Linked DNA regions of Rattus norvegicus. The protein of the gene in region 2 purifies or fractionates together with the protein of the main gene of each other region. This does not show direct contact. Links are inferred from orthologs where the notes say so. Each region holds a gene or a part of one and is shown on either strand. Other genes may lie near its edges. The genes, in order: Cep170, Inava, Cyth2, Cyth3, Cyth1 and Sgf29.

What was found.
Region 1: the proteins of Inava (region 2) and Cep170 purify together in Homo sapiens (co-immunoprecipitation; 3 studies listed by BioGRID and IntAct, counting the BioPlex papers as one, with this or other methods). This does not show direct contact. The link is inferred for Rattus norvegicus from reciprocal best matches to the Homo sapiens genes INAVA and CEP170.
Region 3: the proteins of Inava (region 2) and Cyth2 purify together in Homo sapiens (co-immunoprecipitation; 3 studies listed by BioGRID and IntAct, counting the BioPlex papers as one, with this or other methods). This does not show direct contact. The link is inferred for Rattus norvegicus from reciprocal best matches to the Homo sapiens genes INAVA and CYTH2.
Region 4: the proteins of Inava (region 2) and Cyth3 purify together in Homo sapiens (co-immunoprecipitation; 3 studies listed by BioGRID and IntAct, counting the BioPlex papers as one, with this or other methods). This does not show direct contact. The link is inferred for Rattus norvegicus from reciprocal best matches to the Homo sapiens genes INAVA and CYTH3.
Region 5: the proteins of Inava (region 2) and Cyth1 purify together in Homo sapiens (co-immunoprecipitation; 3 studies listed by BioGRID and IntAct, counting the BioPlex papers as one, with this or other methods). This does not show direct contact. The link is inferred for Rattus norvegicus from reciprocal best matches to the Homo sapiens genes INAVA and CYTH1.
Region 6: the proteins of Inava (region 2) and Sgf29 purify together in Homo sapiens (co-immunoprecipitation; 3 studies listed by BioGRID and IntAct, counting the BioPlex papers as one, with this or other methods). This does not show direct contact. The link is inferred for Rattus norvegicus from reciprocal best matches to the Homo sapiens genes INAVA and SGF29.

Annotation. Positions count from the first base shown.
Region 1 is NC_086031.1:91,282,786-91,288,103, forward strand, and holds the start of Cep170 (centrosomal protein of 170 kDa), read right to left. Parts: upstream 3,206-5,318; 5' UTR 2,999-3,205; intron 1-2,998. Other genes in the region: Sdccag8 (serologically defined colon cancer antigen 8), read left to right, coding at 4,105-4,171.
Region 2 is NC_086031.1:50,235,232-50,240,467, forward strand, and holds the start of Inava (innate immunity activator protein), read right to left. Parts: upstream 3,200-5,236; 5' UTR 3,025-3,199; coding exon 2,822-3,024; intron 550-2,821; exon of another isoform or gene 1-549. UniProt on the Homo sapiens protein: Expressed in peripheral macrophages and intestinal myeloid-derived cells, is required for optimal PRR (pattern recognition receptor)-induced signaling, cytokine secretion, and bacterial clearance.
Region 3 is NC_086019.1:105,418,387-105,422,127, forward strand, and holds the end of Cyth2 (cytohesin-2), read right to left. Parts: intron 3,142-3,741; coding exon of another isoform or gene 3,140-3,141; coding exon 3,063-3,139; intron 2,974-3,062; coding exon 2,902-2,973; intron 2,824-2,901; coding exon 2,669-2,823; intron 2,581-2,668; coding exon 2,493-2,580; 3' UTR 1,245-2,492; downstream 1-1,244. UniProt on the Homo sapiens protein: Acts as a guanine-nucleotide exchange factor (GEF). Promotes guanine-nucleotide exchange on ARF1, ARF3 and ARF6. Activates ARF factors through replacement of GDP with GTP.
Region 4 is NC_086030.1:16,044,116-16,049,237, forward strand, and holds the start of Cyth3 (cytohesin-3), read right to left. Parts: upstream 3,314-5,122; 5' UTR 3,193-3,313; coding exon 3,159-3,192; intron 1-3,158. UniProt on the Homo sapiens protein: Promotes guanine-nucleotide exchange on ARF1 and ARF6. Promotes the activation of ARF factors through replacement of GDP with GTP. Plays a role in the epithelial polarization.
Region 5 is NC_086028.1:103,921,085-103,925,619, forward strand, and holds part of Cyth1 (cytohesin-1), read right to left. Parts: intron 2,734-4,535; coding exon 2,667-2,733; intron 2,428-2,666; coding exon 2,309-2,427; intron 1,983-2,308; coding exon 1,902-1,982; intron 951-1,901; coding exon 838-950; intron 1-837. UniProt on the Homo sapiens protein: Promotes guanine-nucleotide exchange on ARF1, ARF5 and ARF6. Promotes the activation of ARF factors through replacement of GDP with GTP.
Region 6 is NC_086019.1:190,667,144-190,672,419, reverse strand, and holds the start of Sgf29 (SAGA-associated factor 29), read right to left. Parts: upstream 3,393-5,276; 5' UTR 3,228-3,392; intron 1-3,227. UniProt on the Homo sapiens protein: Chromatin reader component of some histone acetyltransferase (HAT) SAGA-type complexes like the TFTC-HAT, ATAC or STAGA complexes.

The DNA.
Region 1 (5,318 bases), about 41 Mb from region 2:
CTTAATGCTTTAATCATTTTCTATTCATCAAACATTGGTGTATTAACTAATCTAGAAAACCTGCAAAAATACACGTACTTCACAGCTTAGTGCCACCTATCACATTCTTATTAGAGTCATACACTACCTAACAGTCTGAAGAAAAATCATTATGCATTAAATAGTGAAAAATACTTATCGGGAACAGAATTTTATTAAGTGAATAAACCATACAGGGGCTGGTTAAAGGAAGGACTTGTTGAGTAAGCAAGACTACCAGATGGTTCATATGGCCAGAACCCATTAAAATGCTGAGTAGGCCTGGTGATCTTAGAGATGTACAGTTAGGCTCAGAAAGTAAAGATAGGAGGCCTCTGGAATAAGCTAGCTAGTGAGACGAGCTTTATTCATAAGCTATCGGTTCAACGAAGACTCTGCCTCAGAATCAATGATGTAGAAAAGCAATCAAGGAATATTTCAGTTTCTGGCTTCTATGTGCACAGGCAAACATGCATGCTCCAACACATGCAAACATTCATACACACATGCGTGCAAATATACCACACACATGGAAAAGAGAAAAAGAAAGCAAACCATTACAGACACAAAGTTCAAATAACAAGCTTTTACCACCAGAGGTGAAATATCTGATCACTACCAGATGCAATAATAAAACTGAGTAAAGATAAAGTAGTAAGAAAGTGAAACAAATTACTAATTACAGAATTTTAAAAACCACCTTGATTGTTTACATCAGCATGCAGAAGCCATATTGATGTTTATTCTAATGCTAAAATAAAAAACATGAAGATCATGTATTCCACACAAAACATTTTAGGATACCATGAGATTTATTGGTAAGATATACACCATTAATCCCAGCACTAGGAATGCAGAAGCAAGCAAATCTCTGAGTTCAAGGCAAGCAAATCCCTCTGAGTTCAAGGTCAGCCTATCTACAAAGTTCTAGGACAGTCAGAGCTACACAGAGAAATCATGTCTCAAAAAATCAAAACAAAAAACCCAAAACCACAAAGCCCACAAACAAACAAAAATTGGCTGTAATCGAATATAAAAATAATATTAAGATAGAATAGAATTAAGAACAAAAGTTAAATGTTAAAAGTTCCACTCTAATAAAAGAAGCCCCCCAAATGTTATCAAAAGGTGAGTTCTAGTATGAGTTGAGAATATAATCCATTAAAGAAAAACCAACATCATTAAGTTCTTGTATGTATATTTTATTTTTAACACAGTTTATAGAATTGATTATGCTATAAAATATTAGGACATATAGTACATTTTGGTTAATAATCAGGGAAGCTTTTTTTTAAGCAAAAAAAGCAGATTTTCTCTTAGTGTATAAAACTCAAGCTCCACTTCAGCATAATTAATAATATGTCGAAACATAAGGATAAGATTAATACAACTGTGAGAATTAACTGATGCAGACCACTCAAGGACCATGTAGAATATGTTCTCTAGACCTGTGCAGGGCAGAGGACTACGGCACACACATAGGAGAGATCACACTGCAATACAGATCTGGTTTTATTTGGCTCTGCCTTCCATTGCTTCAGAGTTGGCAGACAAGTCAGTCAACTTTGCCTAAGTTAGTATCCTCTTAGTTTCTCGTAAGCCCAGTTTAGACTCATGTTTTAGGGCAGCAACTTTTTATAGTGCTTAACAAAAGGAAAAACTAAAAACTCCGCGGGTTTTATTTTTTAAAACAATGGCAAAAATACAGACTGGTTGGCTTGTAACGTGCCATTTCTCAGTATTGAATTTCTCAGTCTCTTAAGGCTAATACATGGGACTTTATTGGTAAAGACTTAGGTTCTGTATTTATAATCCAACTCTCACATTATCCCTCCACTTGCTCCTCCTCATCCTGCTTCATCCTATGGTCCGCTTGCTTTAAGCAACAAGGTTGGCAAAACACTACAAATACCATAAGCTTACGATTTCAAACGGTTTTACAGGATGCATTTTCAAGTAAATGTATTGTCTGCTTCAACAAATTCCTCTCCAGTGGTTGAATTTTCATTAACAGAATAGAAAACAAATCAATTTCAGAAACTGAAATATAGCTGGCCTATTTTTTTTGTTTGCTTTAAGCGTATCCTAATGTATTCCCTTAGGAACATGAACGCATTACCCACCCAGTGGAAAAAATAATTCTGCTGGTTCATTTCCCTGCTAAACAACAGCTTCGCTGTCAAACCCTACGTAAGCCCAGCCTTTATTGTCACCTAGTAATTTTATATTGATCAGCACGGCAGACTTGGGACTCTAGCCTGTATAGCCTGTCTTTATATTCTTTGGGGAACCGGGGTCAGGACGACAGTTTATACTCAAGACCAGAAAACAGAGATCATATGACTTAGGATACAATTCCTCATCTTCCCGTACGTGTCACGCAGCTGCTATTTCTCCCCCTTGAATAAAATGGAAGTGAACTAGACCTAAACCCTACGACTGAATCTTGGGACAATGAAGCCCACAGGAAGCCACTAGCTCCTCCCGTGGGTTTACTACAGAGCTAGAGGCTACGTGGGGTACAGTCGTCCGGCAGGCTGAGTGACAGCACGTCTTCCACGCCCTCCCAACGCCATCAGAAGGCTCGTCGTCCGAGACCCCCTCCCCACCGCCGCCACCCTCCTCACACCCCGAAACCAACCCTACAAAAGGGATGGGCGCCCTGGTAAACTCCCTTCCCCAGCGGCCGCGCAGCCATTCCCTCGACGCTCCGCCCGCAGCGCTCCCAGGCAGCTCAGGCGGCGGCGGCACAAAGCGAGAGCGAAAAGAGGACCGGGCGCACAGAGGGGAAGCCGGCCCCGGGCAGCCGGCCGCAGCCCATGGGGGAGGGGAGGGCGGCGGCCGCGCGGGGCGTCCGGGTGGCGCCCCTCGGCTTCCAGGCCCGCACTCCATCCCGCCGCGGGCCGCGCCCCGGCCCCGGCCGCCAGAGCTGAGGATGTGCAGAATCCCGAGCCTTGCGGACCCCGAGCGCATCACTTACCCCTCACCGCAGAGAGGGACCGGACCGGGAGGCGGGGCGCGGCGCGTCCCGTCAGTCTCTGCCACGCTGTCCTCCTCCCACCCCCTCGCCGTTGTCGTCGTCCTCGTCGTCGCCGCCGCCGCCGCCGCCGCCGCTGTGGAGCTGGGGCCCCCTCGGTTCCGCTGGGCAATAACGTTATTCCACACACGCCCCACACATAGCGGGAACAGCAGCGAGCGGCGGCTCAGTGCGCAGGCGCCTCGCAGAGGGCAACCAGCCAGGCCCTCTCCCTCCTCCTGCCAGGGCCCAGCGATACCTCACTGCGCAGGCGCCAGACCCAGACAATGAAAGGGGGCTTTGCAGAGGGTCTCACCCACTCGCTCTCCCAGCTACCCACTGCGCAGGCGTGTCCTCAAGACCCGCTTGAACAATGAAGAGCGGCTTGGCTGGAGTGGGACCGCAACCAACCAGGACTACGATTCCCAGCGGGCAGCGCGCCAATTCCATACGGAGGGCGGGGCTCTGGGCAAACTAGGAGTTGCAGTGTCCGCCGCCTTCACAGAGTGGCTGTTTGTAAGATTTACACTTCATTTTCTAGAGAAAAACAACTTTGACACAAATCCTGACTGAAACCGAGTTTACAGTGAATCCTTGCGAGGGCTCAGGGGTCAACTCCACACCGGCACATTTTGAAGAGTCTAAGTCCTTCACCCGGTCCGTTCTGTCAGCGGGTCGATCCAGTTGGCTGAGGATGCAGGACAGTGGGACTAATCCAAGCTATGCAAAAGAAAAGGGCGCGGCCTGCAACCGGTCTCTTGGCAACGGGCTCAGGCCGCTAAACTGCCGGAGAGGCGCCCGAGCGCATCGCCCTCTGGGAAGCGTAGTATAGCTGGAAGGCTCTTAGCACTCTCGAGGCTACAAGCCTTGAACCTAAGAACTACAATTCCCGACGTTCACCATGAGGGCCAGGGGGTAGGAAGAGCCCCCAGCAGCCCCGTGCGAGGTTCCTGTCTCCCTAGTGACAGCAGCTACAGGAAGCAGGCAGGCATCCCCCAACCCCCAACGCTAGGCCTGTCCTCGGAGGGGTGCACTGGACACTTTCCATCATAACTCCCATCTCTGACCCCATGGCGAAGTCCCCAGGGAACTCTACCCTGGAGGACAGTCTGGGGCAATACCAACGGAGTCTCCGGGGTGAGTTGCTCCGAATCTCGATGCTTAGGAGCTCCTAGGTACCATGGGCAATATTGGGTTTTTTTCCAGACACTTTCCATGAGCACTACCCAGGCTGAGGAGGACGAAGACGGATATTGCACTGATCTTATGGATCAAATCTTTTAGTTTTGCTTCTAGGATTAAGTAGCACTGTTACCTCTGATTCTTGTGGTTACCTGACCCAACAAGGAACCTAAATCTTGATTTAGGTGTCTTATCAACCAGTGCCAGCACAAACTCATGGGCAGCTCCATGTCACTTCTACCCTGTTGCCATACTGTTGCTGTTAAATCCAATAAATTTCTTATTTATAAATTTTACACACGTAGATTTTGGTTGTAGTACAGCAGGTCTGATGTATAAAACAAGAAACAAAACACTAACAGTTATTTGAAATAATACAATACTAATCTATCTACACTATTTTCTTGTAGCTAAGCATTTGAAACTTTATCTTACTAATGATCCCATTTTACCTGTCAGGAAACCAAAGCTCAGAGAGGTTGAGTTGTAGGCCAAAACTCACACCTCTTGTTGGTAGTGGCAAAGGCAGGTATTGAATTCAGGCCTATCCACCTTCAAAGCCTATGCCTTTCTTATTAATCAAGTCACAATTCCTATAGTTGAAGCCTGTTTTACTTAATTTCAGGTTTTCTGAGCAAAGTACCAGAAGAATGATTATCTGGCAAAGTCATACAGCTAGCTGGCTCTGTTCTTTCAACAACGTGAGCAACCTCTGGAAACCTGAGACTTTGTTTAGTGAATTTATAATGTCAACTACATCATAGTTATTATGGAGAACAAATGAACAAGACAAATAATGAACACAAAACTGATTTATTTATTTATTAACGATTTAAAAAAATCGTTAATCCGTAGCAAGAAATGCATGCCAGGGGCTTAGAATGAGGCTCAGTATTAGAGTGCTTGCCTGGCATGTGGAAAAGAAGGAAAGAGATGGGCAAGTAAATGTGGGACCTAGAAAGTAAAAATTTGATGAAAGACTTTATTCTACAGGTGATGACGTACTTTTTCCTGTTCTGCATTTTCATAAGCCCTATATGCTATGCCCAACAGTTAAAATACTGAATCATTTATAACCTGGATTACTCCACAAATAATAACT
Region 2 (5,236 bases):
CAACAGAGTAAACCTGAGCAAACAGACTGAGCAAACAAAAACAATAAAAACAGAAGGAAAAGACTGCTGGGAGTTGTTGGAACTCATTGGCCGACTACAAGCCAGAGGTCTTGGGTTTAAAACCCAAGACACCTAGAAAAGGACCTAGAAAAGAAACAAAACCAAAGGGACAACAGAAACAGGCCAGGGTGCTTTTGCAGAGACTCCAGGGCGCTGGGAAGAAAGAAGATAGCGCTGATTTCTTTTAATCCCAGCCACATTAAGAGCACCACACGCCGGTTGCAGTCTACAGTTGTTCCCTATTCCACACAACAGTAGCAGCAACCTTAACTCACTCTCCACACTCACTAAAATGGACCTTGGTCCAGGCAAAAAGTCAGCCTCCGGGCTCTCTGTCCATGGACCCTCAAGCAAACAAAAATTTGCTTAAAATACATTGCTTTCGAGTGGCAGCAGCGCTGAGGCTGCCTGCTGCCTGCTCCCAGAGGCTAGAAGGATACAGCGGACTGGCCTGCATCTCTCAGATCTTTGTCTCCTCACCTCCCACCCTCCACCTCTGGGACCCAGGTATCAGGTCTCAATATAGACCCAAGCTGCTTCCTTCTCCCAGCCCCCATGCAACACTGTCCTCGCTCTCCGTGCCCTAGCTGGCTGTTAAGCATCTCCCGTGTCACAGGCTGCCACCACCCTTCACCAACAACCCCATTCCTTCTACACACAAAACCCCCTCCCATACCTTCACATTCCTGTACACACCCTCTTTCCAAACAATGCTAGCCCCAGAGTCCCTCAGGCTGACCACCTCCTCCAAGCAGAAGCTGAAGGGCCCTCACAGGGGACAGACCCTCCCCACTGTGGTGCTCTCTGAACCTCCCAAAAAAACCGCACGGCCCTTCCGATCTCCCCCATAAAGTCCTCCACAAGACTGAAGTCCCTTCCCATCCCCCAACAGGTTTTCGTGTTCTTCCAGCGTCTGAAAGGGCTTGAGCTGCCTAGGCCCCTCCCCCAGCTCCAACTGGGGACTGTGCTGGAGTTTCTAGAATCAGCTAATAGCTCCATTTTTAGTGTATAAAATTAAGAGGCCAATTACGAAGTCCGGTTATGCTGAAATACAGTTCTGAAACTATAAAAACATATCACGTACGCTTCATTGTTAACATTAAACAGGACCCAGCAACGGGTCGTCCCAAACAACCGATGAATGAAACTCTTTACATATAACCGACCTCAAGGGAAAGTCATAGGCACTGCTACTGCTGCTGCTGCCTGAGGTGTAAGTTTTAGACTCAACTGAGAACTCTGGCCTCAGGTAACCTCATCTGAATTCAGGGACAAAAAGCAAAATCGGGTTAAGGCCTGTACACACCAGGACATAAATTCTTTAAACTGTCTTCCAGGAAAAGCCTCCAGGCCTTCACTAATGATTCTCAGTGCTCAAAAACCAGCTTTTCAAGAACGGACTTGAGCAGAAGCCGGGTCACTGACATCATAAACCCAAATCCCCTCTAGCAGAACATAACCGCCACCCAAACCCACCCCAAGAAATATGCAACCTGCAAAGAGGCAAGCCCGGCAGCCAATCAGCAGTTCCCTCACTCTTCTCTGCCCACCGATCAGGGAGGAAGACTTCTCCTCAGGGCCTCCTGCAGGTCAGCTGTGCAGCTGAGCTTTTTCTCTTTTTGCAGAAACTCAGCGCTGGCACGGGCCTCCATTGAAGATGGGTAGCAGTCCGTCGCTCAGTATTGGACTTACAGACCAACCTGCTTGCACTGATCCTTAACTGTTAAATACTCCAAGTCTACACTCAGTATTCCCCAACCCCCTAGAATCTAGGGTTTGGAATTAGGCTGACAAGCCAACAGTCCTCCGGTCAAGATGAGTATTGAGGGAAGACAACACCAAAGGATAGGTGATCCGGAGGTAGCATGGAACTTGGAACTCAGCACCCAACTCTAGGAAGCAGGTAGCTGACACTTTCCCTGATCCCAGATCCCAGAGCACTAGTTACAAGGACAGGTGAAGAAGTGAGGTTTCCTTGCAGTGGAATTCCATCTAGAAGGCAGCCCTTTCCACGAAAACCACCTCTTCAAAACCTTTCGCGTCCAAACTCTTGCACAGACCTGTAACCAAACATACTCCACTCTCTCCGCTGCCCCTAAAGTTGCTTCCAAGTTTCCTGTGATACTTTAGGAGTCAAAGTTTTTTTTAAACCAAGTTCTTCAACCTTACCACAGCACTCAGCAAAGTACAGCCACCAGCATTCCCGCAATTACAAATCAATGGCCAGTCCCAGCAACTCACAGCCGGGGCGGGGGGGGGGGGACCACGGGAAATAGTCGGGGACTCTCTGGGCAGGAGAGGTGGAAGAATATCTCGTTTGCTTTCTCCACTCTCCTCTCTGGCCACTAGGAATGGTGTTCACCTCAACTAAGCTAGGATGGAGAACTCGAGGTAACAGAAGATGCACCCTGAAATAAACCTCTAAGGCTCTCCGTAAAAAACCCCTTTGTCCTGCCCCCCCAGCCCCTCCCCCACCGCGCCCTCTCCTTCCAGGCTGGCCTGGGACTCGGGCTTCTTTTGTTTGCCTGCTTTCTGCCTTCTCGGAACCTGGCCAGGAGATCCACCGGTCCGGGGAGAGAGTCGAAGGAGAAAGGTTGGCGGTTGGAAACGGCTTTGGGGTGGAAATCCGGGAATTCTCAACCCTTTGGAAAAATTACCCCCTTTCCCTGCAAGACTCCCTCTGCAGAGGATGAAGACCGAGGTTCAGGAGCTCGATTCCCCCCAGTTCTCCCGCGCTCCGTTCACTAAGTTTCTGCCTTACCTGTCCCACCGAGCTCTGGCGCCCCGCGCCTGCCCCCGCGCCCCCTGAGCCCGTCGCGCAGCTTCAGGACCTGTTGGTCCCGCCCATCTTCCCTCTCCCCAAGGCTCCCCCGGTCCTCCCCTCCCCGGAGGTATTTCATTTAACTTCGGCATTTGCAGCATCCCAAATGTTAAAGATCCCAAGACATCTGTCCCCTGGGGCATACCAAAGGCCCTGTGGAGAGAGGGGAAAATGCTAGAAGAGATTCGAGATTCTGATCCAAGAGACGGGGCGGGGCCTCACGTTGTGTTGGAACGGTGCCAGCCCCAGTGTGCACCCTGCGGGAGCAACATCGCGAGGGACGACGCTGCCCCCTATCTCCCGCATTCGGGCAGCCGCGTGATGGGACACCCCCTGCTAGACCGGTTTCTGAAGTCTGGGCGGGACGAGGCTCGACTAGAGGTCTTAGGGGCCGCCTTTCATCCCCTCGCTCTGGCCCGGCTGGGGGCAGTTTTCATTCCGAAGACCCTAGCGTGGAAGAATGAAAGGAGACGGCGCGCCCCTCCCCCTCGCCTATCCCTTCTGGCGGCCAGGGACTGCGGCTCGATCGAATCTTGGTCGCCTCGCCTCCTGAGTTCCCAGCCGTGTCCCTTTTGGGGGCGGCGGGCAGAACTCCGGCTTCGGAGGCAAGGCACTCACTCCGGGCAGCGCCTCCTGCTGCTTGCGACGAGCCCGCGAAACCGTCCATTCATTCAAACTTGCGCTTTCCTTTTTTCCGTTGGTTCTGTTTACATTTGTGCTGCCCTTGTCAGGGCCAAGCATGGCGGTTCCAAGTCCAGACTCCTTCACTAGAGGGTTCTTAAGTCTAGATAAAGCTAGTATGATTTTGAAAACCAAAGAACCAAAGGATAGTGGATGTTGACCCAGGCTGCGCGTCCCCAGAGCCTGGCCAGACGAGTGTGCTTTCTAAAGAGGGACCTTGTCAGGCAGAATGTACAAGACATCTTGGCAAAGGAACTCAGCAGGACCTTCGAGCTGTAGGAGATTTAAGATAGGGGTGGAGAGGAGAGAGAAGGTTTTGACAGTTACAGAAGACTGGGGGAAAGACTTTCCTGGATCTATTGGATACTGGTTCTGAACTGACACTGATCCCAGGAAATCCCAAGAAATACTGTGGCCTGCCACAGTGGCTTATGGAGGACAGGTGATTAATGGAGATTTGGTTAATGTTCAACTCACAGTAGGTCCCCAAACTCATCCTGTGGTTATTTCCTCAGTTCCAGGATGTATAATTGGGATAGATACACTTAGAAGATGGCAGAATTCTCACATTGGTTCCCTGTTCTGGGGAGTGAGGGCTATTATGGTTGGAAAGGCTAAATGGAAGCCTTCAGAGTTGCCTCTGCCAAAGAAAATAGTGAATCAAGAACAGTATTGTGGGCTGGAGAGATGGCTCAGCGGTTAAGAGCACTGACTGCTCTTCCAGAGGTCCTGAGTTCAATTCCCAGCAACCACATGGTGACTCACAACCATCTGTAAAGAGATCTGATGCCCTCTTCTGGTGTGTCTGAAGATAGCTACAGTGTACGCATATACATAGAATAATAAATAATTTTTTTTAAAAAAGTATCATATCCCTGGAAGGACTGCAGAAATCAGTGTCACCACCAAGGACTTGAAAGATGCAGGGGTGGTGGTTCCCACCACATCTCCCTTTAACTCTCCTATCTGGCCAGTGCAGAAGACAGATGGATCATGGAGAATGACAGTTGACTATGGAAAACCAAATCAGGTTGTAACCCCGATTGCAGCTGCTGTACCAGATGCAGTTTCATTACTTGAGCAAATTCAGATATCTCCTGCTACCTAGTATGCAGCTATTGATCTAGCAAATGCCTTCTTCTCAGTACTTGTCCATAAGGACCAATAGAAGCAATCTGCTTCCCGTTGGCAAGGCCAGCAGTATACCTTTACAATTTTGCCTCAAGGATATATTAACTCTCCTGCCCAGTGTCATAACTTAGAAGGTATCTCGACCGTCTGTCGCTTCTACAGAATATCATACTGGTGCCCTAAATTGACGACATTATGCTGATTAGACCAAGTGATCAGGAGTAGTAACCACTCTGGACTCATTGGTAATACATATGGGTATCAGAAGATGGGAAATAAATCCCAAAATTCAAGGATTGTTTATTTCAGTGAAATTCCTAGGAGTCTAGTGGTGTGGGCCTGCAGAGATATTCCTTCTAAAGTGAAAGATAAGTTATTAAACCCGGCCCCTTCCACCACCAAGAAAGAAGCACGACTTTTAGTGGGTCTATTTGGAGTCCGGGGATTTGAATGCATTACTCAGGCCCATTTACCAAGTGACTTGGAAAGCTGCTAGCTTTGTGTGGAGCCTGGAACAGGAGAGGGCTCTTCAACAGGTCCGGG
Region 3 (3,741 bases), on a different chromosome or scaffold from region 2:
AGTAGTGAGGGCCAGACCCCTGGTGAGAGCCAGGCCAATCCAAGGTCTGAGATGCTATTATCCTACCCAGTTCAGGGAGCAGGGCTAGAGGTCCAATTCCCCAGGCTGCGGGGGAGGGCAGAGGCCAGGACCCCTGCACCTGAGGGAGGAACCGGGATCAGGACCACTGGTCTGAAGGAGGGTATACTATCGCACTAGTCCTCACCCACAAACTCATATTCAGTTATCTTCAACCGCAGAAACTTACTGCTTCACAGTGTGGAGGCTACAAGACCAAGACCATCGACATCAGTATTTGGAAAAATCTCTTCCGTGGTTTTGCAAGCCTGGCCTCAGGTAACTGTCGGCACTCCTTGGCTTGTCTGTGCTTTGCCCCTACTCTGCATTCATCTCTACGTGGCACCCTCTGTGGCCTCCTGTCCAAACACACACTTTGGGGACTTATGTGGGTATGTTGGTGGGCACTGGGAAAGGCATGGTCTCACATAACTCCGTCTGGCTTTGAACACCTTGATTCTTCTGCCTCACCTAGCACATGGATTGAAATGAGTCCCTTTCCCTCCACACTTGGCCTGAAGGGTGGCTTAAGCATTTTGCTATGACTTGAATGTTCCACAAACTTTGGGCAGTGTTCCCTTTAGATCCTTAATCAAGCATGGTGGATTGTCACAGCCCTGGGCACATGGTGGTGGCTCTTCCACTGCTTCCTGCTTTAGTCACTGGGTCCCCAAGGACTGGAGACCTCCTCCCTTTCCACCTTCCCCTCTATTCACTCTCAGATCACCCCAGCCACCACTTCATTTAAACACACTATTCTCCTGCCTCACATCTTAGCTTCCACAGCCAGGCCTGTATAACCTGTTCTTGCCTCCTGTAGCCACAGCTTACCTTGGCCGATGTTAGTCACCAGTTGGCAGGCAATGATCCTGGGGTGAGGAGGAGCCCTGCCACTGGGTTTTCCTTTGCTCTCATGTCTTTGTCACCTTAACTTGTAAGCCAGAACATACTGTCCAGCTCAAACCCACCCCTTATCCTGGCAATCAGTGCAAGCTCCTGTGCCAAGACAACTTGGTCGTAAAGTATGAAAGACAAGCATCCAAGCTCAGGACACCCACGAATGGGAAACTGGAATCCATATCCCAGGCAGCACCTCCCAGCCACCATTCCCTCGTCCTGGGTTCACCCCAGAGGCAAACAAGACAGGTGAGAGGGCGGCTAAGAACCTGATACTCACTGCCCAGCACTTTCCTGGCCCTTTGGGTGACACTTTAGTTGTTTTATTTGGGAATCTCCATTTCACACCAGCCCCTGGAGGGAGGGGGAGAGGTAATTCATGCTCCTTTCCCAATGTCAAGGTAAGCTTCAGAAAAGCTGATACCCCGGAGACTACAGCCTATTGACAGTAGTCTGAGCCAAAGCCCACCTAAATTAGAACCTGGATGCTCACATTTATCCAGATCAGTGCTGTTGGGGCATACACCCACAGGGTTGCAGATCCACACACACCTTCTGACTCTCAAGTCCCAGAAGGCCCTGGGGCAGAATCCTTTCTTCCCAGTCAGGCCTGCATGCTAAAGCATGCTGGGAAGAGGCAAATTCCTTTACAACTACTACTTCCTGTCTGGCAGGGCAGCTAGCAGTCTAGCATGCTGGCACTGGAAGGAGGTGGCAAGGCTTGACTCTTAACAGTAACAAAAAGCTTCCTGCCACTAGAGGTGGGCAGCAGGCATTTGGTCCTTTATCCTCTCCTCCACCAGAAGCACAAGAGGACAGGACCACTTGGGGACTCAGCAGTATCCCTTCACTGAGATCCCCTCCCACGAGTCAGGAGACACATGCCCAGGCCTTTCAGTTAAAAACAAACACCTCCACAAGTGGCTGGACGTGGGGTCAGAAGCCACTGTCACAATGGCATCCCGCGTACCTCATGACACACACCACTTGCCCCTCCAGGCCACCATGGGGTACTCAGTGGCCAGCACAGCCAGTTCCTAGGGACTGACACAGGTTTTCTTGGGACTCGCTCCTCCTGAGCCTCCTGTTGTTCTAGTCTTAGTCTCCTGGACTAAGTCCCCCAAGGACCACAGGTCCAACATGAACATAGCGGCCAGGCCAGTGGGGTAGAGCACATGGAGAGTAGGCCGAGTCTAAAACCACACTAAGACATTAGATTCTCCCTCCACTCGGCACCCCCAGGGCTGGAGTCACCGTCTGGGATGTGCCTGCCTTCCATGCTGTATGAAGCCCAGTGTCCTGGTTAATGTCAGGAGGATGGGTTCTCAGCTCTCCCAAACCCAAGAAATGAGGGCATCTGCAGGCGCGAGGGGTTAAATAATTAATAAGATTACCAACATGTTAATTACAAATAAGGAGTCAGGAGCTAGAGGTGGTGATTTTCCAAACAGGGAACCAGGATCCACAGCCCCAGGGCCCAGGGGTCCTGCCACCCAGGCGGGGCAGCTCCAAAATAAATAATGGAGTTGGGGACAGGGTCAGGGTTGTTCTTGCTTCTTCTTCACAGAAATCCGCTTCTTTCTTGCTGCCAACATCTCGTAGAAGGGGTCCACGCTTACAGCAGCCCTGCAAAAAGAGGTGTGATGGGGACCAGGCCCAGGCCCGAGCCCAGGCCCAGCCCTCCTGGCTCAGACTCCAGCCCAATGAGGCTTACTGGATGGACTTGATCCACTCGTCTTTCTCCTCCTGTGTGGGTGCTGAGATTCGGTACACCATGTGGTTCCCCTCTACTACCCGACCATCAGCCTCCGTTTTGCAGGCTTTGATGAGCTGTCCCTTATTGTTGGGAATGTAAAGCTCAAAGCAGTTCTAGAATACAGGGGAGGGGACAGGTCAGAGCAGCCCTGGGTCAGTACATGGAGATACAGGGCACCTCATGAGTCTCACCGGCTTCCGAGGATCATCCACCTCACGAATGCTCAGGTTCTCTAGGGGGATGATCCCTCTGGGCTCCTTGTCCTAAGAGGCAAAGTCAAGAGTTCAGGTTTACATGAGAGCTGGGGACCCTGCCCCCGCATCCTGGCCTGTGTCTGCAAGCTCCACCTCACCGTAGTGTACTCAAAGTAGTAGAGGCAGTTGTCTGTGAGGATGAACCAGCGACGCTTCCAAGTCTTCACCCGGCCCCCTGCAAGGGAAGGGGTGGGAGGGGCCGGGCTCAGCGGGGAACCGCTAGGGAGGGGGGAGCAGAGCAGGAAAGGTAGGGTTCTTAGGTCTAGGACAGAGGCAGTGAGGGAAGACAGGCAGGCAAGGACAAGCTGCGGGATGGGGTTGGGGGGGGGCGCCCAGGAGTTGGTTCCCCCTGCTTGGGCCAAAGGGTCTGGCTATTCTATTGGCAGAGGCCCAAGCCCCTCCCCCTGGGCCAAGGCAGCCTCTCCCTATCTGATGGGGGGGGGTGGGGGCAAGAAAACCAGGTACCTACCTCCTGGGGCAGACAGCGAGAAAGCAGGCAGGACCAGGTGTGGAAGGGAAGGCGGAGGGATGGGGTGCCCCAAGAACCGGCAGCGACAGAAATAGGGAGTCGGGGAAGGGATGCACAGGGAGCCAGAGCCACAGCGAGAGAACAGGCAAAGGGGAGGGGGAGAGAGGAAGAAAACCAGTTACATCTACATGGGGTGGAGCCACCACCTCCCCCTGCCCACAGTGCTCAGCCTGGCCAGGATGGCTCTAGAAAATACATGTTCCCTGAGACCTTCAACTCCGAGCTAAGGAGTACAGGTGGTCTTAGAA
Region 4 (5,122 bases), on a different chromosome or scaffold from region 2:
TCAGCCAAGCTCACCTTCACGCTTACTGAGAACCCTGAAGTTCAGAGCACCTGAGCACAAACTGCCCGCATCCACCCAGATGGGAACGCATCCGGTACAAGGCAGGCCCACCCCCTCAACCTGTCCCAGTGGCACACTCAGAAACCAGGATCTCCTGACGGCGCCGAGCCAAACTAGCCAGTTACTTTCTAAGTAGAGGCCTAGTTCAAGAACTGTTCTAGAAGAACTGAACGGTACCAAGTGCCAAGGCAAGGGAAAACACCTTCACTGCACTCTGCACACAGTCCAAGGAACAATGTGTTCCTGTAATCTCGTACCCCACTCGCCCCTCCTTGTAACCGCCTTCCAGCCATTCATGCGCCATCCTTGCCTTATCGAGCACTGCAAAGAACAAATAACGAAAGCCTGGACAAGAAGTTCAGTTATAAAAACGACCATCCCTGAAGTCCTTTCTGCCTGACCAACGCACTAACCATAAAGAAAACCCTGCCAGTCACCTTCCCCTCTGCTCTAACTACTATTCGAATACATTTAGCTTTTTTTTTTTTTAATCTTCTAAGAAAGCTGAAACAGGGCTCCCAGATGCAGATTAAAGGTCTCTCCTGGGGTTGGGGATTTAGCTCAGTGGTAGAGCGCTTGCCTAGCAGGCCGCAAGGCCCTGGGTTCGGTCCCCAACTCTCGGGAAAAAAAAAAAAAAGATGCCAAAGCACCCGTAAGTATCTTACCACAATGTGAGCAGGAAAGATTTTTTTTTGATAAGCTGAATCAATAAAAATTAAAAAGCCGTTTTCTATCACATAGCACACTGTCTGGCATTCCAGCAGGGAAAGAAAAAAAAATCAATAAATCTCTTTGTTGTCAAATGTTCCAGGAAGGTGAATTAAATCACGCTGTATGTTTAAAATATGTGGATCTTTTATAAGCCCAGATTTTTTTTTTTTTGGTCTAAATTTGAAAGCATGTGTTCTTATTCAAAAAACCTGGGAAATATAAGAGAAAATCCATAATGACAGCAGTATTTACATTGTTTAGATCAGAATGTATAAAAGAACTGCTTGTCCTTGGTAACTTTTTAAAACTGCATGTGTGCGCAAGCTTGTTGCTGCTTGCCTGAGGAGGTCAGAAGACAACTTGTGGGCGGCAGGGCCCTCCTCCACCATGTGGCTCCTGGAGAGTGAGCTCCAGCTGTCAATTTGTAATGTCTCCCTGAAGTAACCTTACCTGGTCGCGGTTACTGTGTCTCATTTTTTAACTGTTGGCCATGACAGTGCAGTATCATTGAACTGAACATCTTTTTTTTTTTTTTAATTTTAAGAGTGTTTCTCTGGTACATTAATATATCCAGAGACATTAATGGTCCAGAGATAGCTTTAAGCCTTCCTGCTACTTTAATATTGACCTTCATTATACTTCTCAAATTCCAGGGACTGCTGAAACACATTGGCTTCTAAGTTTCCCCCACTGTATCTGCTTTTACCTTCAAATCTTTCACATGTTGACTCAACAGACTGCAGCACCTGCAAAGCCGTCCCCAATTCAGCTTCCTGGATTCCAATGTCCAATTGCCACTGTCCTGTCTTTTCTAAACTATGTCAAACTGTGATATAGGCGAAAGGCAAGGCATCCACAGGGATCCAGTGCCTCCAGCCCCGCAGCCGGTCTGTAGGAGGGTTTGCAACTGGGCTCTTTCTTTTCACAAACAAAACACCCACTCGGTGCCACTGTGCTACCCCTGGCTTTTACTATGAGAACTGAACTTGGCAAATGCCACGAGGAGTGCCAACTTCCTACCAGCCCAGCCACCCCGTTTCTTTCACAGAGAAGGAAAAAAAAAATCTGAGAAGCTCTGGAATTCTAGAAGGCACCTTGATTAACCACTTCACGGGGAAGTCTTCAATATTGCTGATTCTTACAGGCAGCTGCTCCAGCAGCCTGTAATTAAGACTTTTTTCCCCCCTAAACACTCCCTTATTACATGGGACTCTGATCATTCTGTCAGCAAAAAGGAAGATCGTTACTCAAAGTCCAGACAGCTTCAACTTGGGGTGTTTGGGTAAAAATGATGGGTACATTATTAACCCCTTGCTTTCTCAATCAAAGACCCACTCGACGAACGGGGACTCTTAATGTTTTGGGAAACCAAATTCATGAAATGATACAACAGGAATTTGTAATCCGTTGAGTAATTTGCAACCAGCACATCTGCAGGAGGACAGAATTCAAAGTCAGGCACATAGAGCCTGAGCAACACCGAGAACTGATAACCCACCTCTGGAAGGGTGTCTGCCCCTGAGAAATGATAACCACCTCAGGAAGGGTGTCTGCCACACACACCTGTCCTGGAGTCTTACAGCCTTGTTGGCTGTGGCTCCCGCTTCCCACCCTCGGCTTTAGAGAGATCCCACCTGACCCCTTTAATTTCTTAATTATATTTTCCATTTGGTGGTGTTGTGAACAAACTCAGGGCCATGCTAGACAATTATTCTATCATTCAGCTATTTGCCCCCCTCTTTATTTTTGCACCCCACCCCTTCTCTGTAGCATTTTTTTTTTCTATTTGATAAAAATGCATACTCAGACCTGGACTGGAGCTGCCTGTCCCTCATGTCCTTTAAGCCATTCCCAACGAGTACTTCTGATCTAAAACCCGGAGACGTTGTTATGACTTCCAACCTTCCTCCTCTCCCCCGGACCGATCCAACAGACCCCACCCCCGGGCCCCGAGGCGTCCAAATTGAAAACTTTCCCCTCCCCATCCACGAGCTCCCAAGCTCCAGACACCTGAGGAGAGCTGAAAAGGAGAGGGGCCCGTCCGAAACAGCTGGACTAGGGAGGGCGTGGACGCCCTTGGCAATGAGACGCTGGGAAGGTCGCCCCGCAATGTGCTCCCATCTCGGAAAGGCGACCTGGAGCTGTGCAGCGAAGACCCTGGCCTCGAACCCGCGACCCGCTACCGCGCTGGGCGACGACCCTGCGGTCTCCGACTTGTCCTCTCACCAACGCTGCGAAGCCCGCGTCCCGGCCTTACCCCGAGCACCTCCCCACGGTCGCCACCAACCCACCCGACACCCGGCCCCACATCTCAAGCCAGGGCTCTCAACAGCGCGACCCCCGGCCTCAGGGCCGCCCAGAGAGCCGGCCACACCTCCATCACTCACCGCTGCCGCCCTCACCGCCACCGCCTTCGTCCATCTTGAGGCCACTCCCAGCCAGCCGGCGAGCCCGGAGCCGGCGGGAGCGACTGGGCTGAAAGCCGGGACTAGGAGAAGTGGTCGCGGGGAGAACGGAGGAGCTCCTCAGCGTGCGCGGCCCGGGTCGCGGCCGGGCCTCCACGGAGGGCCGGGCGGAGCCTCGCTGCTCCGGCGCCGTCACGTGACATAAACCACGCCCCCCTCTGTGGGTGTGGGCGGAGACTAGACGCCTAGTGGTCCCGCCCTCCAGACTCCGCCGGGCCTTGCAGTAGCTGCAGTAGCTGCTTAGCCTAGAGACTTGGATCCTGCAGCGCTGCACCCTCCTTCGAACCTGGTGTCTGCCCCTCTAGAGCATCCTGGAGAGGAAGCCGTGTCTATCAGGAGCACGAGGACGCCCCGCTCTACAAAACCAAATGGCTATGTTGCGACTCGCAAGTGCATGGAGTAGGGGAGTGGGAAAAGATCTGGAAGGGAAGGCTGATGATGATTGGCTCAACGAAAAGAACTAACTATAAGTTTTACTGTGACCGCAGCATGCATGGGCGTCCAAACATGACATACACACAGTAATAATTGTGTGAGGAGATAGTTCTGTTGTTAAGAGCACTCTCTGCTCTTGAAGAGAGCCAGAGTTTGTTTCCAGCACTCACAGAACCCTTGTAACTACAGCTCCAAAAAGGATCGGATACTTCTGGCCTCCAAAGACACCTGTACTCATATGAGGGTTATCTGGAACACTCTTCTTGCCTCCAACGACACCAGGCATGCTTGTGGTGCATACATACACGCGGGCAAAACACCTATACACACAAAATAAATTTAAAAGAAAAACTTTTTTGAGACAGGGTTTCTCTGCATAGCCCTCAATATCATGGAACTCTCTGTGTGTACCAGGCTAACCTTCGACTCAGAGGTCTTCCTGCCTCTGACACCCGAATGCTGGAACTAAAAGGATGAGCCAAGGGGTTGGGGATTTAGCTCAGTGGTAGAGCGCTTGCCTAGCAAGCACAAGGCCCTGGGTTCGGTCCTCAGCTCCGAAGGGGAAAAAAAAAAGAAAAGAAAAAGAAAAGGATGACCCAACATGCCCAGCTAAATAATTTTTTTTTCAAATGTTTATTTTAAAAAATAATTTTAAAAATAATAAAAATTGGGTGTGATGCTTTGATGACAGCAAGCAAATCTCTATGAATTCTTCGTGGGCTTGGTCTATATAGTGAGTTCTAGGTTAGCCAGAGATACCTAGTGAGTCCCTGTCTGAAATAATAACAATAATAATAATCGTCATCATCATCGTCTGAAAATGAGCCCACTGTGAAGAAGCCTCTCCCTCTCCCCACCTCCTCCCTTCTTCATCCTCAAGATGTTAGGGTAATTCCAGCCTTTTATCCCTTCCGTGTATAATGAAAATGGAGTCTCTTTTTCCTGCGGATTGGATGCATTTTAAAATTAACAAAGTATCGAGGTTTGTAAATGAATGTAGTCATGACGTTGAACCCTAATCCCAGTCCAGCACAGCTGGGGCCCAGCTCTCAAAAAGCCTGATTACAGAGGTTGGCCGGCCTGGCGTCAGATGCCCTTGGAGTTGAGCTTTAGTCTCTCTTGGGTTGCTGCCAGCTGCCCTGGATTTATGATGCAGTGGGAGCTCTGAATTCAATTTCCCGTGGGCACAGCCCAGGGCTGGGCAGACCGCCTCAGTTCGTCCCTGTTCCAAATCTATGGCTTGCTTCTCTCAGTCCATATGTCTCGTTTCCAGTAACCTCTCCTTAGCATTGCCTGTGTACCCTCCCGAGCCTTTCTGCTCGAATTAAATTGCATTAAAGAGAAGCAAACATTATAAGGGAGGAGATGGTTCGTCTGTAATAAAATTTCCCAGCAACTGTTTCATATTTACAAATTGCCCGTTGAATCAAAGGATGCTTCCTCCATCGTCC
Region 5 (4,535 bases), on a different chromosome or scaffold from region 2:
TTTTTTTTCAGATATAAAAGAATAGGAAAACAATAAAATGGCTGGGAGCAGTGGAGCCTGGCTTTAGCCCCAATACTCAAAAGGCAGATCTCTTGAGAGTTCCAGTACAGTCTGGTCTATAAAGGGCCAGGTAGGGCTATACAACAAAACCTCAGACCAATACAATGCATAAAAAAGGAAAAAAATTAAATGCAATTCTATTTAGTAATAATATGGTCTGCTTTATTTCTCCTGTATAAATGTACCTATAAAATCACTTTACAGACACTGTGATGTACTCTCACCTGAGCATATGCATGGGTGTGTATGTATGTATGTATATATATGGGATAGGTATATACATATACATATATACATAGGGGACAGGTATACACATATACACACATGTGGGTGGCTTTTTGTTAATCTTATCATTTTCCCATGCGAATATCTTCATAAGAACATGATTTTTCTTTCTTTTTAAGGCAAGGTCTTGATTAAGTAGCCTAGCTAACTATATTCATAAATTTGCTTTTGAGACAGGATTTCTCTGTGTGGCCCTGGCTGTCCTGGAACTTGCTCTGTAGACCAGGCTGACCTTCAACTCAGAGATCTGCCTGCCTCTGCCACTGCCCAATGTTGAGACATCTTTAAGAGTTACATGTTTTATAATTCTGAACCCAGTGCTTGCAATCACATGAGGCAAGACTCCTCCATTAAGCACACCAAGTGTTCACTGTAGCTCAGGGCTGGTCTTCTGGATGCTTTGAATCTTTCAAGGTTATGCCCACCATTAAGTAACTGTTCTTGGCATGGACTCGGCCTCTTGTCTTAGCTCTCCCTCCCTCCCCCACTCACCTGTAGACTGGAACACCCCAGTATTGCACTGACAGTACCGCTGCGCAAAGGCCTCCATCATCCGGTCAATCTTCTGGGCCTCTCCAGGGAGCCGGAAGCTCCACAGGAACTGCCTGAGGGTAAAGACAGGAGCATTGTTTTGACCTGTGCTGCTGCTAGTGTGGCTTTAATATCAGAGGGTGAAGGAAGTGGGGGCTCCAGTCCACAGAAGTCACAGAAACTGAACAGAAGCAAATGTAACCATTGCCCACCACTGTGGCCTTAGCTGAACTGAGACACCAAGAAGAACAGCCCCTCTCTAGAAGATGATACAAAAGTAAGACAGATGTTAATCATTTAAAATGAACTCTAAGGGAAAGAAAGGTCCATCCAGGGCATTCACTACGGAACCCTGTGGGTCACATTTGTTCATGGCCACAGGTTTAGTGCTGCAATATTGTGTCCTTAAAACTCAGAGCTCAAAAAGTCATCCTAGGATTTATACCTAGAGCAGGGAAAAGTCTCTAAAGGGCACAAACCAAGCTTGATAAAGAGTTAAAGCTGAGCTGTGTGGCGGTAGAGCTTGCCCATGATCCCAGCACTTGGGAGACAGAGGCAGGCAGAGCTCTGAGTGTAAGCCCAGCCTGCTCTACAGTGTATGTTCCAGGACAGGCAGGGACACACAGAGAAACCCTGTCTCCAAGGGGAAAAAATAGTTGATTTTTTTCTTTTCTTCCTTTCTCTCTTTCTTTCTTTCTCTCTCTTTCTCTCCCTCTTTCTTTCTTCCTTCCTTTCTATCTTTCTTTCTTTCTTTTAAATGAAATACACGGCTACCTATAGGGTAAGAAATGAAAGGGCTTTCTATTCTGAAGAGTAGAACTAATTTCAGTATTTAAGGTCTTAACAGCCCCTCCATTCCCAAGACCAAGAAACCATCCTAGTGAATGCTATCCCACACAGGCATGTACATGGCCTCCCTGGAAAATACTTTATGACAGTCACAACAACCTCCATCGACAGGCTTGGATGGAATAGCACACAGGATAGAATACTCCTGCCCCACGGGACCTGCTGACAACACCCACCGCAAGGCCTGGACGAGGTTCAGGTCGGTGAACTCGTGCAGCTCCACAAATGCATGCAAGACCTGGATGCTGAACTCATCTCTATCAGAGGACAGACAAGAGACAGAAGGAAGCACACGTCAGACCCCGACACTGAACAAGACCCATCCTGATCACAAGCAGATGGCATCCCCAGAGTCCCAGCCCATCAGACCTCTAAGCCTGGCCATCCAGTCAGGAGGCTGTCTGCCTGGCTGTTTGCTAACTAAACAAGCAAGGCGCTTCTATGCCCCGGGACAAGTAGGTTAATCATTCCACTCAGTACCATTGTGGTGCCAGCTGCCCTACCACAGTCCCCACCCCATGACTTAGGCAGCAGGGAGCTTATTTCTTCCCATGGTTCTGACCACCAGCTTTGAAGGCCTCACCTCTCCCCAAGGTAGTCACCGATGGCTGTTTTGTTGAGCCCTTCCCCTTTATACAGGAACTGGGCAATGTCCTCACAAGTGTTTTTCAGCAGGCCATTCTCGATTAAGAACTGGATCCCCTGCACCAAGGTCAGAAAGAGCAGAGATGCTGGCTCAGAGGTTGGAGAATGAGTGTGGGCCCTGGCGCCTGTGTCGGCACACACCCACCACCGGACACTGGGACAGGGGACTCAAGTCAGAAACCAGAGCCCCAGCCTCAAGAGCTGACATTTACTCCAGAGAAGAGCAGCTTAGACCGAGGTCCCCACGGCCCTGCCCCACTGTAATAGTCTGGCAATTGTCACTTCCTTCTGCTTACCTTCTTAGGATCCATGTTGAATTTCTTTCTGCCCATGGCTACCTGTTTGTTCCTCTGCATGTTTTTCCTGAAAAACAAGTGTAGCTGTTAGTGCTCTGGCGGCAGGACGTCTGGGAGGCTGGAGCAGCCTATATGTGGTGCTGACAGTGTGGGAAGACAGGCCTAAAAGGGTAAGGAAGCAATGTGGTCCATCCACACAGGTCAGCCCGGCTCAGCTGAAGCCTCCTTCTCTCTAGAGTCATAGCCTCTCTTAGAATTTCTTCTTCTTAAACTTTGCTGTCTACACATTGTGGAACTGCCTGTTTTATATGTAAACCTGAAGGGCTTTTAATAAGCTTACCAATTGCCATAACTAGTTTCAGAAAACTTTTATCAGTCCAACAAAATTCCCCACAGTCATTTCCTGTTCACCCACATTCCTCTTTCAACTCAGGGGAACTCTTTTTTTTTAATATTATATATAATATTAAATATTATATATAATATATAATATTTATTATATATAAATATTATTACATTTATTATATATAAGTACACTGTAGCTGTCTTCAGATACACCAGAAGAGGGCACCAGATCTCTTTACAGATGGTTGTGAGCCACCATGTGGTTGCCGGGAATTGAACTCAGGACCTCTGGAAGAGCAGTCGGGTGCTCTTAACCGCTGAGCCATCTCTCCAGCCCAGGGGAACTCTTTTTTAAAAAGATTTAGTTATTTGTTTGTTTTATGTAAGCATGCTGTCATTGTCTTCAGACACAGCAGAAGAGGGCATCAGGTCCCATTACAGATGGTTGTGAGCCACCATGTGGTTGCTGGGAATTGAACTCAGGACCTCTGGAGGAGCAGTCAGTGCTCTTAACCGCTGAGCCCTCTCTCCAGCCCACTGGGGAACTAACTCTTGACCTACCTTTGGTGTACACATCTGCCAAATTCTGGACCTCTCATACGTGTAGAACCGGGACAAGCTGGGCTTTAGTCTCCGAGCAAATGAGCTGCTCAGGAAGAACTCATGTGCTGCTGCCACCTTTAGGGGCCAATGAGCCGTCGGCACTAGCCAGACCCCAAGGTAAAAAGTCCCTTGCTCCTCCTCTTTTTTCTTTTTTTCCCAGGTTGAGACATGGGTTCACTCTGTAGCTCAGGCTGGGCTAAAACTCACTGCGTAGGTCAGGCTGGCCTGAAACTCATAACGATCCTCCTGCTTCCACCTCCAAATGCTGGGATTATAGACATGAGCCTACCATGCTTGGCCAGGCTGACTGAGGTTCAGGACTGGTATGAGTCCCAGGCTATCTAACCACATTTTCCCCAAGTCAAGGAATACTACTTTGATCTATATTTCCAAAAAAGTACAAGAAAAGGCTGATGGGCAAGCTGGGAGGGCGAGCTGGGAGGTAGTGGTACACACCTCTAATCCCAGCACTGGGGGCAGAGGCAGGCAGATCTGAGTCTGAGACAGCCTGCTCTATAGAGTGAGTTCCAGGACAGCCAGGGCTACACAGAGAAACCCTGTCTTAAAGAGAGAAAAAAAAAAAAAAACATAACAAAAAAAACCCCTCAAAAACCAAAAACCAACCAACCAAACAAACAACTGCAGGGCGACTTCTCAGAGTGCAGTCCTTGGAGCCCTGCAATGGCAAGGCACGTAACTGCCCACAGGGACCTTCGGTGTCTTTTCCTTGGTTTAGTCCCTTACTGAAGCTCCCCCTGTCTCTGGCAAGCCCTAACCCAGAGCACAGACTCCAGTAGTACACGTCCACATCTCTGTCAACTGTAATTGCCGCTTCTGAAGGCTGTGGGTGCTCACGGGGTGGCTGGCTAACTTCACTGGCTCCTCAGGAATCAGCTGCAAGCCATCCAGTGTTGTAGCTTA
Region 6 (5,276 bases), on a different chromosome or scaffold from region 2:
GAGATGGCTCAGTGGTTAAGAGCACTGACTGCTCTTCCAGAGGTCCTGAGTTCAATTCCCAGCAACCATATGGTAGCTCACAACCATCTGTAATGAGATCTGATGCCCTCTTCTGGTGTGTGTGAAGACAGCTACAGTGTACTCACATACATAAAATAAATAAATAAATCTTAAAAAAAAACAAACAAACAAAAAAAAAAACTTTGTAAGAATCTCCACACACGGGGTTGGGGATTTAGCTCAGTGGTAGAGCGCTTGCCTAGGAAGTGCAAGGCCCTGGGTTCGGTCCCCAGCTCCGAAAAAAAGAACAAAAAAAAAAAAAGAATCTCCACACACATTTAGAAATCTGTAGCGATAGGGGTATCTATGTCCCTACTTCTAGCTTCAGAAAGTTGGGAGTAAAACCAAGGATTCACCTGATCTCTCTGACTAATCATACACACTACCCAGGATAACCAGAGTCTACACCTTCTTCACCCCAAACAAGCACACACTCTTCCCTGTTCTGTCTGCCTCAAGTGCCCCTGATCCTTCTCTTCTTCCCTTCTAGGTCACTTTAACTTATTCAACTTTCAAGATTTAAATCACAGTCTACAGCCTAGTTTACAGAACAAGTTCCAGGACAGGCAGGGCTATACATAGAGAGAAACCTGTCTCAAAAAATAAAAATTTAAAAATTAAAAAAAAAATTCAACAAGTTGAGCTTATCAACATTGCAACCCAAGAACATGATATTTACATATGAAGCTGGGGGAGGACAACACAGCTCCCAAACAGCCACAGGCTCCTCCATTTGCCCTCGTCTATGGCCAATCACAACTTCAGGAAAGTGCCTAAGCACTGCATTTAAACTTTATTCTTGTTTTGTTATGTTTTTATTGTTGTTTTGAGACACAGTCTTAGTATGCAACTCAAACTGCCCTGGAATTTACACCTGGAACTCCCAGAGATTCATCTGCCTCTGCTTCCCCCGTGCTGGGATTAAAAGGTGCGTGCCACCATACCAAGCTTCTTTTATTGCTTTAGGGGCAGGGTCTCACTGTGCAGTTCAGGCTGACACTGAACTCACATTTCTCCAGCCTCAGTCTTCACAGTAAACTTCTGTTCTTGCACCTGTCACTCATGTAAATGATGAACTGCTTCACTGACAGCTCTCCTACCAGATGACAAGCATGGAGCATACAGGCTGCTACTCTAGATATCTTTCTGTTCTGCCGGGCCTTGGCACATACTGCTGTCAAATCAGGTTGCTGAATGGAGCTGAGTCCTGAACACCCTTCAAGCAGTCTTTCAACTTAGAACACTGAAACGGGTTTGAAGCTGAGCTACTCAAGGTCTCCTCTGTCTCCATGTTAAGTACTAACATCTTCCGTGAGAGACTACCTACTTCCCCCATGCAGAAAAGAGAAATTATGCCCTTTCATAATTCCATTCAGCAGCATTTACTAATTACCTAAGACATAAGGGATATGCAGTAGTGAAAGGACAATGCAGAATGGACACATATTAAACAAATAGAGCCACATGCCAAAGAATACATCAGAAAAAAAAAAAAGATTGAACATGATGTAGTCCCATGAGATTATAATGCTCAAAAAGATGTATGAGATTATAAACCCAAAACACTTTCATCACCCCATTATTTCTTATTAAACATTTATTTATTGAGTATGGGTGTACATATGCCACAGTGTTTACTGGTTTTCTTCTTACCACATGGGTCATGCTTAGGTTGTCATGCTTAGTGACAACTTCCTTTACCCTCTGAGCCTCTTCACTGGCCCTCACCTAGTATTTTACTGAACTGTTTCTGTATAGATACTCAAATACTTTTCATTTTGTGGAAACCACCTTTATAGTATTTGCTGTAGTAACATGCTACATATGGAGTGGCAGGCTATGCCATGTGGACTTGGTGTGTAGTAGGCTGATAATCTAAGCTGTGTAAGAGCACCGTGTCCTGTCTTAGGATAAACACCTCCCAGTGCATTGCTCCCAGTGCACCCCCTTCAGCATGCAATGCACACATCCCATGTATTTACTCTCGGGATGAAAAAGCACTGAAGCACATGACGGCTAGTTTTAACTTGACATCTAAATCACCCGGGGAAGCTGGCAGTGGTTGCACACTAATACCAGTACTTGGGAGGCGGAGGCAGCTGGATCTCTGACTTCAAGGCCAGCTTGGTCTACAGAGTGAGTTCCAGGACAACCAGGGCTAGACAGAGAAACTTTGTCTCTAAAAAAAAAAAAAAAAAAAAAAACAAGGGCTGGAGAGATGGCTCAGTGGTTAAGAGCACTGACTGCTCTTCCAGAGGTCCTGAGTTCAATTCCCAGCAACCACAGAGTGGCTCACAACCATCTGCAATGGGATCTGATGCCCTCTTCTGGTGTGTCTGAAGACAGCACCAGTGAACCTATATAAAATTATTAAAAATATGTAAAAAAAAAAAAAAAAAAAAAAAAGAAAGTTGAGTGCACCAAAATAAATTTTATTTATTTAAAGTGTGAAATAGACAATGCCCAGGGAGTGAACAGAAAAAAGGCAAGATTAGGGTTTATGTATTCTGAAGGTACGAGCATTAAAGATGAAGAAATGGAAGCAAGAGTTCTTTAGGTTAAGAGAGGACCGAGGCAATGAAAGAGGATGCTACCAAGCCATTATCACTGAACTTGGGAATCCAGAACTCAAGGCGGCTTTGACAGAGCTGTTTCTGTGAGACAGCATGAGACAAGGCCTCCCTAGAGAGGCAGGTGAATGTGCTAATGAGTAGACGCAGACGTCCTAGGATACATGTGTCAGCCGACAGATGAGTGAGCTACAGAGTGGATGAAGTTACTGTTGTGAAAATGGACACCTTTAGGGCTGTGGAGTCTGTAATCTCAGCACTTGGGATTGAGGGAGGACTGCGATCTCACGGCCAGGCTGGGCTACAGTGTCCCTCTCAATAAGAAAGTAGTAAACTGTGCTGATGTCTGGGACCAAGGACCTCACCAGGTGCCGGCCTCTAGACTAGTCAGCTCCAGCGGCTTCCCACCTCTCCAGAGATGTAGGGCGCACGCGCAAACCCCAGGGCGCCGGCTCCCACAGCCCGCCCCCTTCCCCGTCCAGGGCGCGTGCGCGTTTCCGCAGAAGCCGCCTCAGAGAGCCGGGCGCCGGGCAGGAACGCTGGCCTTTCGTTCCCGCGCTGCGTGGAGGTACCTTGCCATGGCCCCGTCCCACCTACCGAGCCCAGGGAAAAACAGCACGTCGCGCTGGTAACTGCGATGGCGGGAAGAGCGAATCACTGGAACGTTTCCTCACACGATAGTCCCGCACTTACGTTCGAAGGTTCGCGGCACGTCAAGAACCACACACGCTGTTTCTCTTATGAGCGCGGTCGAGCGCGGAGGACTCCTCTGCGCATGCCGGGTACTTCTCTGTGACGTGCTGCATTGCACCCTGGGAAACGTAGTTCTTCGATACTTGTGCCTTGATGTACTCAATTTATTAGGTCAGAGTTCTTGTTTGTTTTTTATGTCCCTCGAAAACTTTCATATAAATCAAAGGACCAGAAAAGCATGTGTGAAGCCTCGCCTAACATGTGGGAAGTGATGGGATCGGATCCTTAGCACCAGAAGAAAACAACAAAACCACTTCAGATTATTGGGGATAGGGAAGGAGGGCCCCCAGGAAGCATATGAGAATTCTGTACTTTAAGCTAAAGTTTGCTGTGAATTTAAAATTTATCTAAAAATACTTTTAAATTCCAAATAAGCAGTCTTAGGTTTAGAACTCATAATTTACAGAATCTTCCCAGCAAATAAAAAATATGGACATGCAAACATTTAGCTATAAAGGTATTCTTTGGATGCCTACTTTGTGGATTGGGCAGTTAATGCAGTGGTAGGACACTTGCTTAGCATGGTTCTGGTCTCAATCCCTAGGGACTACTTCCACTCCAACTATCTATCCTAATGTATCATACATAACACCTAAAAAGTCAATATGGTTTGGTGGTTAAGAATACTTGCTGCGGGCTGGAGAGATGGCTCAGTGGTTAAGAACATTGACTGCTCTTCCAGAGGTCCTGAGTTCAATTCCCAGCAACCACATGGTGTGTCACAACCATCTGTAATGGGATCTGATGCCCTCTTCTGGTGTCTTTGAAGAGAGTGACAGTGTACTCATACCTTAAAATAAATAAATGAAAGATCACCAGAATTAGAATGCCAGTACTCACATCAGCTGGCTCAGACTGCCTCTAACTCTAGCTCCAAGGCATCTGATGCCCTCTTCTGGCCTCAGAGGGGACTGCATGGATACATATACACCTATACATAGAACAAAAATTAGTTTTGAAAGTCTTTTAAAGCCTATAATCACATATTGTTATTCTCTGATAGAATTACAAATGCTATAAGGTCAAGATCTTTAGACATTCCCAGTATATAGCACTGTGTCTGGCACACAACAAGCTATCAGATATTTTTCTATTAGCAAACCTTAAATTTTTTTTTTTTTGGTTCTTTTTTTCGGAGCTGGGGACCGAACCCAGAGCCTTGCGCTTCCTAGGTAAGCGCTCTACCGCTGAGCTAAATCCCCAGCCCCTTAAATTTTAACACAAACTATTTTAGCACCCAGACTAACAAGGAAAATTTTAAATATATATATATATGGCTTGGGAAATGCTGAGCAATTAAAAACATATACTACTTTTACAAAGAGCCCAAGTACAGTTTCCAGTGCCCACACTGGTGGCTCATAACAGTCTGTAATTCTAACCCTAAGGGTACTGATGCTTCTGCCTGCCTTTGGCACCTGCACTCACGGGCACATACCCACACACAGACACAACATTTTTAAAGTTTGAAAAAATAATTTTCTTTCATTGAATTAGGGCTAGTCAGGTGCCCTGGTTAATTTTAACAATCAAGTTGGCTAGAGCCACTGGACAATGCCGTCTTCACTGAGGAATTTCCCCAGACAGACCTGGCTTGTGGAGAATTGTCTAACGGATTGTAGGATTATAGGAGTGCACTACCATGTTACCATGTTAATCCTAGCCCACTACCAGTAGCACCATTCTCTTGAAAGGTGATCTTGAACTACATAGGAAAGCTAATTAACAGCATTTGAAAGACAGACAGGTAGATGTCTATGAGTTTGAGGCTAGCCTGTTCTATATAGAGAGTTCCAGTCTAGCCAGTGAGACTAGTCTGGAAAGAAAGAAGTCAGGCATGGTGGCATATGCCGTTGATCCCAGCACTCAGGAAGAAGAGGTAGATTTCTGTGA